Linked DNA regions of Daphnia pulex. The protein of the gene in region 1 purifies or fractionates together with the protein of each later gene. This does not show direct contact. Links are inferred from orthologs where the notes say so. Each region holds a gene or a part of one and is shown in the gene's direction. Other genes may lie near its edges.

The links.
Region 2: the proteins of ubiquitin carboxyl-terminal hydrolase 36-like (region 1) and nucleolar GTP-binding protein 2-like purify together in Homo sapiens (affinity purification with mass spectrometry; 3 studies listed by BioGRID and IntAct, with this or other methods). This does not show direct contact. The link is inferred for Daphnia pulex from reciprocal best matches to the Homo sapiens genes USP36 and GNL2.
Region 3: the proteins of ubiquitin carboxyl-terminal hydrolase 36-like (region 1) and ATP-dependent RNA helicase DHX33-like purify together in Homo sapiens (affinity purification with mass spectrometry; 5 studies listed by BioGRID and IntAct, counting the BioPlex papers as one, with this or other methods). This does not show direct contact. The link is inferred for Daphnia pulex from reciprocal best matches to the Homo sapiens genes USP36 and DHX33.

Annotation. Positions count from the first base shown.
Region 1 is NC_060018.1:5,362,758-5,366,509, forward strand, and holds the start of ubiquitin carboxyl-terminal hydrolase 36-like, read left to right. Parts: upstream 1-995; 5' UTR 996-1,195; coding exon 1,196-1,454; intron 1,455-1,530; coding exon 1,531-1,685; intron 1,686-1,751; coding exon 1,752-2,156; intron 2,157-2,230; coding exon 2,231-3,743; intron 3,744-3,752. Other genes in the region: clusterin-associated protein 1-like, read right to left, coding at 1-32, 90-208, 275-320, 405-601, 681-702. UniProt on the Homo sapiens protein: Deubiquitinase essential for the regulation of nucleolar structure and function. Required for cell and organism viability.
Region 2 is NC_060028.1:1,711,868-1,715,619, reverse strand, and holds the start of nucleolar GTP-binding protein 2-like, read left to right. Parts: upstream 1-1,069; 5' UTR 1,070-1,220; intron 1,221-1,288; 5' UTR 1,289-1,312; coding exon 1,313-1,389; intron 1,390-1,445; coding exon 1,446-1,659; intron 1,660-1,734; coding exon 1,735-2,136; intron 2,137-2,198; coding exon 2,199-2,300; intron 2,301-2,361; coding exon 2,362-2,730; intron 2,731-2,794; coding exon 2,795-3,739; 3' UTR 3,740-3,752. Other genes in the region: protein trapped in endoderm-1-like, read left to right, coding at 1-84. UniProt on the Homo sapiens protein: GTPase that associates with pre-60S ribosomal subunits in the nucleolus and is required for their nuclear export and maturation.
Region 3 is NC_060023.1:1,400,338-1,404,089, reverse strand, and holds the start of ATP-dependent RNA helicase DHX33-like, read left to right. Parts: upstream 1-946; 5' UTR 947-1,177; coding exon 1,178-1,428; intron 1,429-1,492; coding exon 1,493-1,625; intron 1,626-1,688; coding exon 1,689-1,988; intron 1,989-2,047; coding exon 2,048-2,232; intron 2,233-2,304; coding exon 2,305-2,380; intron 2,381-2,447; coding exon 2,448-2,641; intron 2,642-2,706; coding exon 2,707-2,836; intron 2,837-2,899; coding exon 2,900-2,942; intron 2,943-3,003; coding exon 3,004-3,095; intron 3,096-3,169; coding exon 3,170-3,324; intron 3,325-3,417; coding exon 3,418-3,589; intron 3,590-3,667; coding exon 3,668-3,752. UniProt on the Homo sapiens protein: Implicated in nucleolar organization, ribosome biogenesis, protein synthesis and cytoplasmic dsRNA sensing. Stimulates RNA polymerase I transcription of the 47S precursor rRNA.

The DNA of each region.
Region 1 (3,752 bases):
GCAAGTTGACGCATTTCACGAACATCTTCCGCCTTGAATCACATCGGTGTCAATACTAAAACCTTGTAATGGTAATCTAATAAATTTACTTGACCACCAAATCCGTAAAGAGAAGGCTCGTTATTGTCACCTCCTTTACGAGCAAGCTGCAAGGCCTCGTAAAAAAAATTGGCCACGTTGAGAAGCTCTCTCACTGCTATATTGTCCGCTAGATACAAATAATCATAAAAAATTACTAGATCTATTACGTTTACATTTATCGTGAATCACTTACCTTGGTAAAGTCTTTTAGGATTTAGCTTTATTTGTAATTTGGTATTCTGAAAGAGGAAAGTTGTTATTGTATTAAATATATCACGGGCATTAAAAATTTTAATAATAATAAGTTTAAGAAAGCATTTTACCAGGAATTTTACAACGGATGTTACGAAAACTACGCGCTCCTGTTCTGTTTTTATGAGAAAATTAATTCCACTGTTGACATCCAACTGCTGGCAAAACCAATTCAATATCTCAGCTACTAATCCGAAATTAGTCGATCGGAAATTCTCGCGAGAAATTAAACGCGGGTAACCGAGTAAACACATTTTATCAATAAAATCTATAATTTTTAGAAATCATTATAAAAAAAAGAAGAAACATGTATCGTCTCAAAGATTTTACAGAAATCTTTATTTTACCTGTAATTTCTCGATACGACATTTTTTAAATTTTGTTGGGCTGCTTAAAAGGAATGAATAAGTCTTGAGGCGAAGTTTGTTTGAAAGCATGGCTATTAATGTCTCCATAGCAACTCTGTGTTTAGGGAATGACATGGTTATTATTTTATTCTAAAATTAACACCTACAATTTTTTATTGTTGACATATAAAATATTTTATTATTGAATATTTTCTCAAACATTGTATGATTGTAAATGATAATTTTTCAAAATGTAAGCGAATTTTCAAGATAATGATTCCAATGATGGGGTGTTTAGGGTTGATAGCAAACTGGTACCTCATTTTAATGGCGAAGGATTTCGGCTGTGAACGTGTCTTGGCCCTGTTCACGTGTTGTTGCTCTCGAAGCAAATGTGTTACCAGTAAATTTGTGACTTTTGGGCATGACGTTTTGACGAAAAAATTATTGAATCCACTGCTATTTGTTTCTCTAGTTTGATTTGTTTCATTTTGTTGACATTGTGCATTTTTGTTATGCCTGCTTCGGTGGCCGATCCGGTGGCTCTCGTACTGCGAACCGCTTTGAGCGGGAAAAAGGGTCCTTACTCGCATGAAACAGAAAATGCTCCAGAATTACTCGAGGATCGGTTGGCAGCATCTGCCAAGAGAGTATTGCTCTCATCCATTGAATATGAACCTGCTCCTAAACAACAACTACTTTCGCTGGACACATTGAAGAGCAAGTATACTGTGCTCAATTCCAGCCTTTCTGCTAAAATCACATCCCTAAATGGTATTTTTATCAGTTCCAAGTTACTTCTTTCCCTTATTAATAAGTTTGTTACATAAATTAATGATATTAAATGTAGGATCAAGTCCTGTGACAATTCAAGATTCGCTCCCAGCCCCCAAGGTCACCCTGTTTCGAAGTGAAGATGTGAAAGTTGGGTGGAAAGGCTCTGTACCAGTTGGAGCTGGCATGATAAATATGGGAAATACTTGTTATATGAATTCAACGTTACAAGTAAGTATTAAATCTTTTTTATGTACATACATTATTTAATGTTTTTTTTTTTTTAAATAATTTTAGGCACTTTTCCACGTCCCATCATTGTCTAACTGGCTGTCGAGTGTTAGACAATGTAAAAACTGTGATCCTAATGGAAGTCAGCTCTGTGTTGTGTGTATTATTGCTAAGACACTTCAGTCTACGCACGACAAATCAGGATCTGTTATCAAACCCATTTTGGTCTACAATAGACTAAAACTGATTTGCAAACATTTAGTTCATGGAAGGCAAGAAGATGCCCATGAATTTATGCGATACTTAATGGAAGCTATGGAAAAGGCGTATCTTCAGAGCGTCGGTGGAACTAAACTCGACTCGCGTAGTAAAGAGACTAACCCTCTCGGGCAGATATTTGGAGGCTACATACGAACTGAGGTTACTTGTTTGAAGTGTAAACACACATCAACCACCTTCCAACATTTTCAGGTATTTTTTTTTTTAAAAAGGTGATAGTTATTTCTAAAGCAAGTTAATATTTTTCTTTTCTTCTTTATATGTAGGACATCCCTTTGGATATTCAGCATGCCTCAACTCTAGATGATGCTTTGGGTCATTATTTCCGTCGCGAGAGGCTTGAAGGAGACAATGCTTATAAATGCGAAAAATGCAAGAGCAAGGTCCCTGCTACCAAAAAATTTTCAATTGAGCGCGCCCCGAATGTACTGTGCATCCAGTTGAAGCGTTTTGGACTCATGGGCGGGAAAATGTCCAAGCACATCCAGTTCAGTCGTAACCTGAACTTGAATCGCTTTCTTTTTCATCAGTCGTCGGGTGGACCCTGTGTTGCCTACAAGTTTGTATCGCTCATCAATCACATGGGTCCATCACAGCATTGCGGTCATTACACCGCGATTGCAGAGGCAAGCAATGGACAACTGTATCTCTTCGACGATTGCTCCGTCCGTCTAATCTCACTTAATGTCGCAATGAGTACGGGCGCATATGTATTGATCTACGAGAAAGTGCAATCGTCTCCTTCTACTCCTACTAATAGTATGGCTAAAATAAGTAACATCCAAGCTAACAGTCCAGCTCCTTCGCCTAAGCTTCCGATTCCACGACCGGCGATAATTTCAGAGCCCTCTCGTCCAAAAATCCAAATTGAACTAAAAAAGGCTGATCCTCTTCTAACAAAACCTCGATTGATTATGCGAAACGGGTCGGCACTATTCAAATCTTCTACGGCGCTCCCCCCTTCTCCTGTTGTTACTGTTGCTCCTGTTAACGTATCAGCCGTCAAGGAAGAACCACGCGTCGTCCCTGTAACTGCTCCAAAAACCTCCCCACTTAAAAATCCGACCGCCTTGGTGCCTTACGATGGCGAATCGTCGGATGAAGAACCAGAGAAAGAAACTGCCACAACCAATGCTACCACAGAAACCCATTCATCATCTGCTGTTTTGAAAGCTACCGAAACCAAGTGGCAAGTCAGCCCATCTCCAACTCCTATTGAGACACCAACTACAGTGTCAAGTAACGGTGGGCCCACAGTCGCCACTAAGTGGCAAGTATCAGATAACACTCAGCAGGACAACAGCAGCAGCAGTACCACTAGCAGCGGCAGTGTCAGTCAGAAATGGATCGTTCGATCATTGAGTGATACTGAATCAGAAAGAGCTAATCCAACACGTAGTGAACAGAAGGTTTACTACAGCGACACAGAGATGGATCCACCCTCTACTAAGGACACACCACCTTTAAGAAAACTGGGTAACAAGATTCGTCTCATTAGTGGGAAAATATTTGGACCTTCCACTAAGCAAGTCGACGCAAAACTGACAAACGAAACTTGTAAAAGTAAGGATGCAACCCTTCCGACTGAACCAGTCAAAGAAACGAAATCCGAGCCCGTCAAGGAGGAGCATTCCCTCATAACCAGCACTGACCCAGCAACGAATACACTGCCTGCTGACATGCCTGCTAAGTGCAGTAATGTAAAATGGGATGGAAGTCGCACTACTGATACAGTAAAGGAATTACTCCGCATGTCTCATAGTGGATTCAGCGATCAAGGTATTTTAT
Region 2 (3,752 bases), on another chromosome or scaffold:
AAAGTCATCCGATCCACCACCAACACGACGACCAACAATGCCAACCACAAAGAAGATGGCGATCAGCAGCTGGCCAGGGCTTGAAATGAACGAATAAAATGCGCAATCTAGACATTTCCGCCATTTTAAAAATTAATTAAATTGGCCAGGGAAAATCACAAAATTTGAACCCAGTGTACATATGCGTTGTTCTCTCTTTCATTTGTTTAGATGTAGAACAGAATGGGAATTTTTTCTTTTTTAAAATATTTCTGCGCGATTTTTTGCTATCGACTTTTGTTTGTTTTTTAAATCCAATGCGGAAATTTTTGAATTTTTTTTTTGTTTGGTGGGAAAAATTGCCGAAATGTCATTGAGATGTCGCATGAAATTATTACCATGTCTTTTATACTACATGTATTCTCCTGGCAGAGAAAGAAGCCGCCGACGGGCGAGAGAACTTCATTTACATTTTTAGCACATCATATCGAAAAGCAGACAACAAAAAGAAAAGAAAAAAAGAAATATGAAAGATAGAAAAATTTTCAAAAAAGACAAGTTTGTGTGTGTGTGTTTTTTTTTAAATATTTCTTGTGTCTTGTACGCACGGTTCCTCGTAAATGATGTTGTATACACATTTCATGTAACTTCACGACTCGGAAATTTTTAAATTTCTTTTATAACTGTGTGTGTTCGTATACAAGTGCATGTATACTATATTGGTTGATTTTTTTTTAAAGAAAGAAGGAGAAAAATATTATCGAACCCGCCTATATAATCCTTATAGGGATGGAGAGGATTCAAAGTGGTTTTTTTTGTGTGTTGGTTGGTCGGTCAATGACACGCAGAGTTAAAAAAAAAAGAAGAGGATGTGATTTGTGTTCCGATAAGTAATAAGCTGTTACCAAAGGGATAGGCTGAGCTAGTCAAACAGGTTTTTTCTTTAGTCATTCTGCCACTGGGCATTTTACGTCGATAGGCGACATGGAATGATAATTTTTTTTTTTTACTATGTGAATTTTTTACCGCTAGATGGCAGCACGTTTTAACTTTGGAATTTGTTCCTAGATGTCAGCTCAAATAGCAGACGTTTTCTTGAGAGACTTTTCACGACAACACGTGTGAAAAGAAGTACGAAAAGTTGTACGCTTTAAAGTTTATGACAAATTTTGTTTTTTTATAAAAGTAGTTTGCATTTGATCTGTTTACGTTACAGATATTGAAGCTACTGATTCTGAGTGGTAGGTCGTATATTTATTTTCAGTATTTTCGTGTTTTGAATAGCAATGTTTTCAAATGTTAAAAACAGGTTTAAGCATCGTACTTCCTCAAAATGGCTAGGACTGTCCGTAAGACCGATCCGGTCAAAAAGGCCGGACGAAAAGATGGATTTAACCGATCCGGACACAGGTTTGTTATTTGTCACTAATATACTAAATGTTTGCTAATAAAATCTTCTGATGCAGTATGAACCCAGATCGAAAAATTTCTGGTCTGAGGGGAGTGAGCAAGGCAAGAGATAAGGCCACAATCAAACGATTGCAGATGTACCGTAACTTTAAGGCCAAGCGTGATGAATCAGGCAAAGTCATCCGCCCAGCACCTTTTCAATCCAAATTTGCATCTGGTACTGTTGCACGTGTGGAACCTAACCGGCGCTGGTTTGGAAATGTCAGAGTGGTATGTGATCGTAATTACTACTTCACCATTTCTTTGATAGTGATCAAATATCTTAATCTACGTGACTATATTTAGGTTGGCCAATCAGCACTCCAGAAATTCCAAGAAGAACTTGGACAGGCCATCAAGGATCCCTATCAAGTAGTAATGCGTCAGACAAAGCTGCCCATCACTCTGCTGAAGGAATCCTCTAAATTCGCAAGAGTTCACTTGCTGGAAACTGAAAGCTTTGAAAACACTTTTGGCCCCAAGAAACAGCGAAAGCGGCCGAGCCTTGCCACCGGTGACTTGGACAGCTACGTATCCTCAGCCCAAAAATTCGGTGACGGTTACGAAATCGAAAAGGACGGAGCTTTGGTTCGTGATCTGCCAGACGATCGCGAACTGACTCGAGAGTGGATCATGAAGGCTGGCCTCAGCAAACGAATCTGGGGAGAATTGTACAAAGTGATTGACTGCTCGGACGTCATTATCCAGGTATTGAATTATACCAAATCATTTATTTGAGTTCAATTGTACTAAATGTTTAATTTGAAAAGGTTTTGGACGCCCGTGATCCTTTGGGAACTCGATGCAAGCAAGTCGAAGCTTATATCCGTAAAGAAAAAAGCCACAAGCAATTGTTTTTCGTGCTCAACAAGGTAAGCAAAGTCATTCCCAAGATAATTTAGACCCCTGGCCTCATTCCATGCTTCTTTCTAGGTGGATTTGGTACCAACTTGGATTACCCAACGTTGGGTCAAGACGCTCAGCTCCGAGTACCCCACCATGGCCTTCCGTTCTTCGATGACCCATCCCTTTGGTAAAGGTTCGTTGATCAATTTGCTGCGCCAGTTCGGCAAGCTTCACAGCGACAAGAAACAAATCAGCGTGGGTTTCATCGGCTACCCGAATGTTGGAAAATCGTCCGTCATCAATACCCTGCGCAGCAAGAAAGTCTGCAAGGTGGCGCCCATCGCCGGTGAGACCAAAGTCTGGCAGTACATCACGCTGATGCGTCGAATCTTCCTCATCGACTGCCCGGGAGTTGTATTTCCCACCGGAGAGACGGACGAGGAAAAAGTGTTGAAGGTAAACCGATCGCAATTTGATTTACCTGATTGCAAATTCTAATACGATTGCTCTATTCTTTCAGGGTGTCGTTCAAGTGGAAAAGCTGAAAACGCCCGAAGACTTTATTCCAGCTGTGCTGGAACGGGTGAAGAAAGAGTATTTGAGCCGCGTCTACAGGTTGAACGACTGGAAAGATGCCACCGACTTTCTCGACCAGATGGCCCGCCGAACGGGCAGGCTGCTAAAGGGTGGAGAACCGGACAACAACGCCGTGGCCCGAATGGTCTTGAACGATTGGCAGCGAGGCAAATTGCCTTTCTTCGTCGCCCCTGTCAATCCGGATGCGGCCAAAGTGGAGGAGAAAACCGAAGGAGATGCCACAGCCGCCGCTGTTGAAGAGTCGGGAGAGGAGACTGAAAAGGACAAGAAGAAATTCGAGCCCAGATTGGCCCAGGATTTCAGTAAAATTCGGGTGGATCTGAAATACGAAGGTGACGACGTCCAGCCTTTGGAGGCCCAGCCGGACTTCATGGACGACCCTTCGGCCGACGAAGCGGAAGACGATGAAGACGCAGAGGAGAATGTGGCCACCGACAAAGCGACGGAAGAGTCGAAATCGGCTGATGTGTCCAAAGGGGAAGACCACGAAGGTCTCGACGACGAGGAAGACGATTACGAGGATGAGATGGACGAAGAAGAAGAGGAAGATAGCGACGTGGATGCGGCGGCCAAGAAGAAACAAGCCAAGACCCTGAAACTCAAAGCGAGAACCATCACCAAGAGCGGGGCCTTTTCCGTGACGCCCACGTCGCGATCGACCAAGAAAGGAGGCGGCGGTGACGAGGACGACCGACCGGAAAACCCGCGCTGGAAGCTGACTTCGAGAGAGAGGAGAAAGATCGATCGCGATCAGAAAAAGAAGAAGATCGGCACTCACTTTTACGAAGTGGTCAACGTCAAAAACAAGTCGAAGAAGAAGGGTTTCTTGGAGATGGCCAAGGCCTTTAGGGGTCACTGTAAGAAGTAGTGTGGGAGTTGCT
Region 3 (3,752 bases), on another chromosome or scaffold:
GCTCTATATGCAACAGCGGATGCGGTCTTTAGTTCCGACAGGTTGCACGTCTTTTGTGTACATACTGGAACCCATTCAAGAGTGCAGGGCATTTACACACGTATCATCTGCAACTAAAGAAATAAAACATTTGTTTAAAAAACAGCTGTGGTGTTTCTTGTTTAAAAGAACTGAAAGATTATGACCAGGGTCAAACCAAACAGGAAGACGAGGGGGGAGAAAAATTTGTTTTAAAAAATGCACAGAAAATGTTTATAGAGTCATCAACTGCTGGACGTGCACACATAACGGTCGCGTCCATTACCGTAGTACAAAAGACGAGAGAAAAGAAGAACCCGCTTTCGTCAAAATGTCCCGTTTGTTTTGAGAGTCTTAACTTCTTCCCCCCTCCTCCGCTGTAATATCTTTTAGACACATCTCTCTTCCGTTTGAATTATAATTTAAACGGTTCAGTTGTGGATGGAGTTATTTTCAAGTTTCAACAGTCTACCTGCTGTTGTTTTGGAGGGGGGAAAGCTAAGAAGTTCTCTTGTCGGCACATGCTTCGAGTTTTTCACAGTTTGTCGAGATGACAATCGTTATATCAATACGTCTAGCAGGCCGTTATTATGGCGTAGACTATTGTCAGAAAACGTGAAGGAGCGGTTTTTTTTTCAGTTGCCGATAATAACGTCTTTTTTCTGATGGGTGGAAATACATATCTTTAGTCTCTTCTATTTTAGAAAAACACCGCACTCGGGGGAAATTCTTTCCATTGTTGGGCAAGTGGCACGTTTTGGAATGCTCAACTGGAGAAATGGCCGGCATCGTAACGGATGAATACGTAAATAGGTAATTCGGGAAGACTAACAAAAGCCAATCAAGCATTATTTCTTTTTTTGTAAAAAGAAATTGACGATGAGTGGACTTTTATTGGAAATTGTGCAATGCAGCAAATTACCCCCACGTTATTTCCTAGCAGACGAACTAGCACGAATCGACAACGAGTGCAGTTGTCTTGTTCTTGACAAATCAAACAAGTTTCCAATTTTTCTATTTTTTAATTCAAATTTTGACTACTTTTTTGGGATAGTGTGAATCATGATTTATTAAATTCTTGTCGATTCAAATTGTTTTCATTGTGGGAAATTGAGCTGCCGTCGTAGAGTTCCGCACACTTTCGGGCAAACACTTTGACATGAGAATGACTGACTCCTCGTCACAGAATAATAATGACGGTGCTAACGGTTCGCACGGCAAACGTCCTGCTCAGAATAGTGGGAATTCGGGAGCTTCCTTCCCCAAAATAGTTAAGTTTAATGGTAATGCCCACAGACCTCCAGGCAGGGATTCAAACTCTCCCAATAAACGACCTATGCCAGCACACTACTCTAGAGAGGACTTGCTGGCCCAACGGCAGGCCTTACCAATCTACCCAGTTCGCCAAAAGTAATATTTCTTTAGTAAAATTTTGTAATGTGTTTTGTTAATGCATTTTTGTTTGTTTTTAAAGGTTACTTGAAGAACTGAGGAAACATCAAACTTTAATCGTTATTGGAGAAACTGGAAGCGGGAAAACAACACAGATTCCCCAGTACATCTTCACTCATGCAATGACTGAGAATGGAACTATTGCAGTCACTCAGGTTTGTTAATTCTACCCATTTTATGTGGGAAAAGTTTAATTGTAGTGTTTAAATCTTTTACAGCCAAGAAGAGTTGCTGCCATAACTCTTGCCACCAGGGTAGCGCAAGAGATGGGTGCTCAGCTTGGCACAACAGTTGGATACACTGTACGCTTTGAAGACATGTCCAACTTCAAAACCAAAATCAAATTCTTGACAGATGGTATGTTACTCAGAGAGGCCATGCTGGATCCACTCCTGAAGAGATATAGCGTCATCATTCTTGATGAGGCTCACGAAAGGACCATTCACACAGATGTGTTGTTCAGCGTTGTCAAAACTGCCCAGAAACGACGTGCAGAACAAGGAAACAATAAGTTGAAAGTGAGTTTACCTTTTAACTTTATCAGCATTGAATGACATAACATAATTCCATTTCTTAGATTGTGATCATGTCTGCCACTATGGATGTTGACCATTTCAGCCATTATTTCAATAAAGCTTCCGTAGTGTACCTGGAAGGTCGACAGTTTCCTATCCAAGTCTTTCACGCCAAGCAAACTCAAGAAGACTATCTTTTTAGCTCATTGGTGACTCTCTTTCAAATTCATAAAGATGCACCAGCTGAGTAAGAAAACATCTATTTTCAAATTGTCCTATGATCCTGTTTATAATTCTCTTTTGATTTTTGTTTACCTAGTCATCACATTCTAATCTTCTTGACCGGCCAAGAAGAGATTGAAGCTTTCGCCAAAAGTGCTCGTACGATAGCCAAGGTATACAGTTTAATCTAAAAAAATTTTAAAGTAAACAGCTTATTCACGTGGTAAATATTTACTATAGGACCTGCAAGGCAAATATCCAAATTTAAAAGTTTGCCCACTGTTTGCAAACTTACCGCAAAATCAGCAGATGGAGGCGTTCAATAACCCACCGCCAAACACAAGAAAAGTGGTGCTCAGTACAAATATTGCTGAAACTTCTGTCACGATTGATGGTATACGTTACGTTATCGACTGCGGTCGCGTCAAAGCCAGGTAATTTCTACTACACAATCATCATGCTTGGATTTTGTCATTGAATCTTTGTATCAATGATTCAGAACTCACATGCCCGCTACTGGAATGGATATTCTTAGAATACAAAAAATCGCCCAGGCTCAGGCTTGGCAACGGGCTGGTCGAGCTGGTCGACAAGCAGCCGGATTCTGCTATCGTGCCTATACATTGAATGTAACTTTTTAAAAGTTATTTGAGATTTGTGATTAGTTGTAAAATGTTGGTTTATTCAATTAGGATTTTGAGAAAATGGCGCCAAATCCAATACCTGAAATTCAACGTAAGATTTATAAGTAAAAATGCCATAAACACTATATTGACAGAATTTTTGGAAATTCTAGGTTGCAGTTTGACTACTGTTGTGCTTCAACTTCTGGCCTTGGGCGTGCAAGATCCGCTGAATTTTGATTTCATGGATAAACCGCCAACTGAGGTAAGATTCCCTGAAATGTTTGGACTATAGATTGAATTGTGTACGTATTTCATTGAATCTAATCGATTCCACAGCTTATCGAAGGAGCCATGCGGGAACTTCACTTACTGGGCGGGATTCAATCGACAGAGAAACCTGTTTTAACCGAAGTGGGCCAACAGATGGCAGCTTTCCCACTTGATCCACGCTTCACCAAACTGATATTGGCATCGAAAGAGCTCGGATGCACGTAAGTTTTGCCGCTTGATTGGATTCCCGTGCCAGTGATTCAGCAATCAAATCGACCGGTTGCGGTCGTTGTGTTTGTGTCTTTTAATCGCAGGGAGGAAATTGTGAGCATCGTCGCGCTGTTGTCGGCCGATTCGATCATGATCAACGCCACTGCCCAACGGGAACAGGCCAACAACGTCCGTGCTAAATTCGCTTCCTCGGAGGGCGACCATATGACTCTGTTGAACATTTTCCGCGCTTTCAGAACAGCTAAACAGAACCGAGTAGGTGTTGACGAACCCACTAAATTGTGATTTACTGTAACACTGATTGCATTTGTGTCGTCGTTGTAACACGGGCAGAATTGGTGTTTTGAGAACTTCGTCAATTACCGGAACTTGCTGTACGCCGTCGAAGTCCGGAAACAGTTGGCTGAGTTGTGCGAGC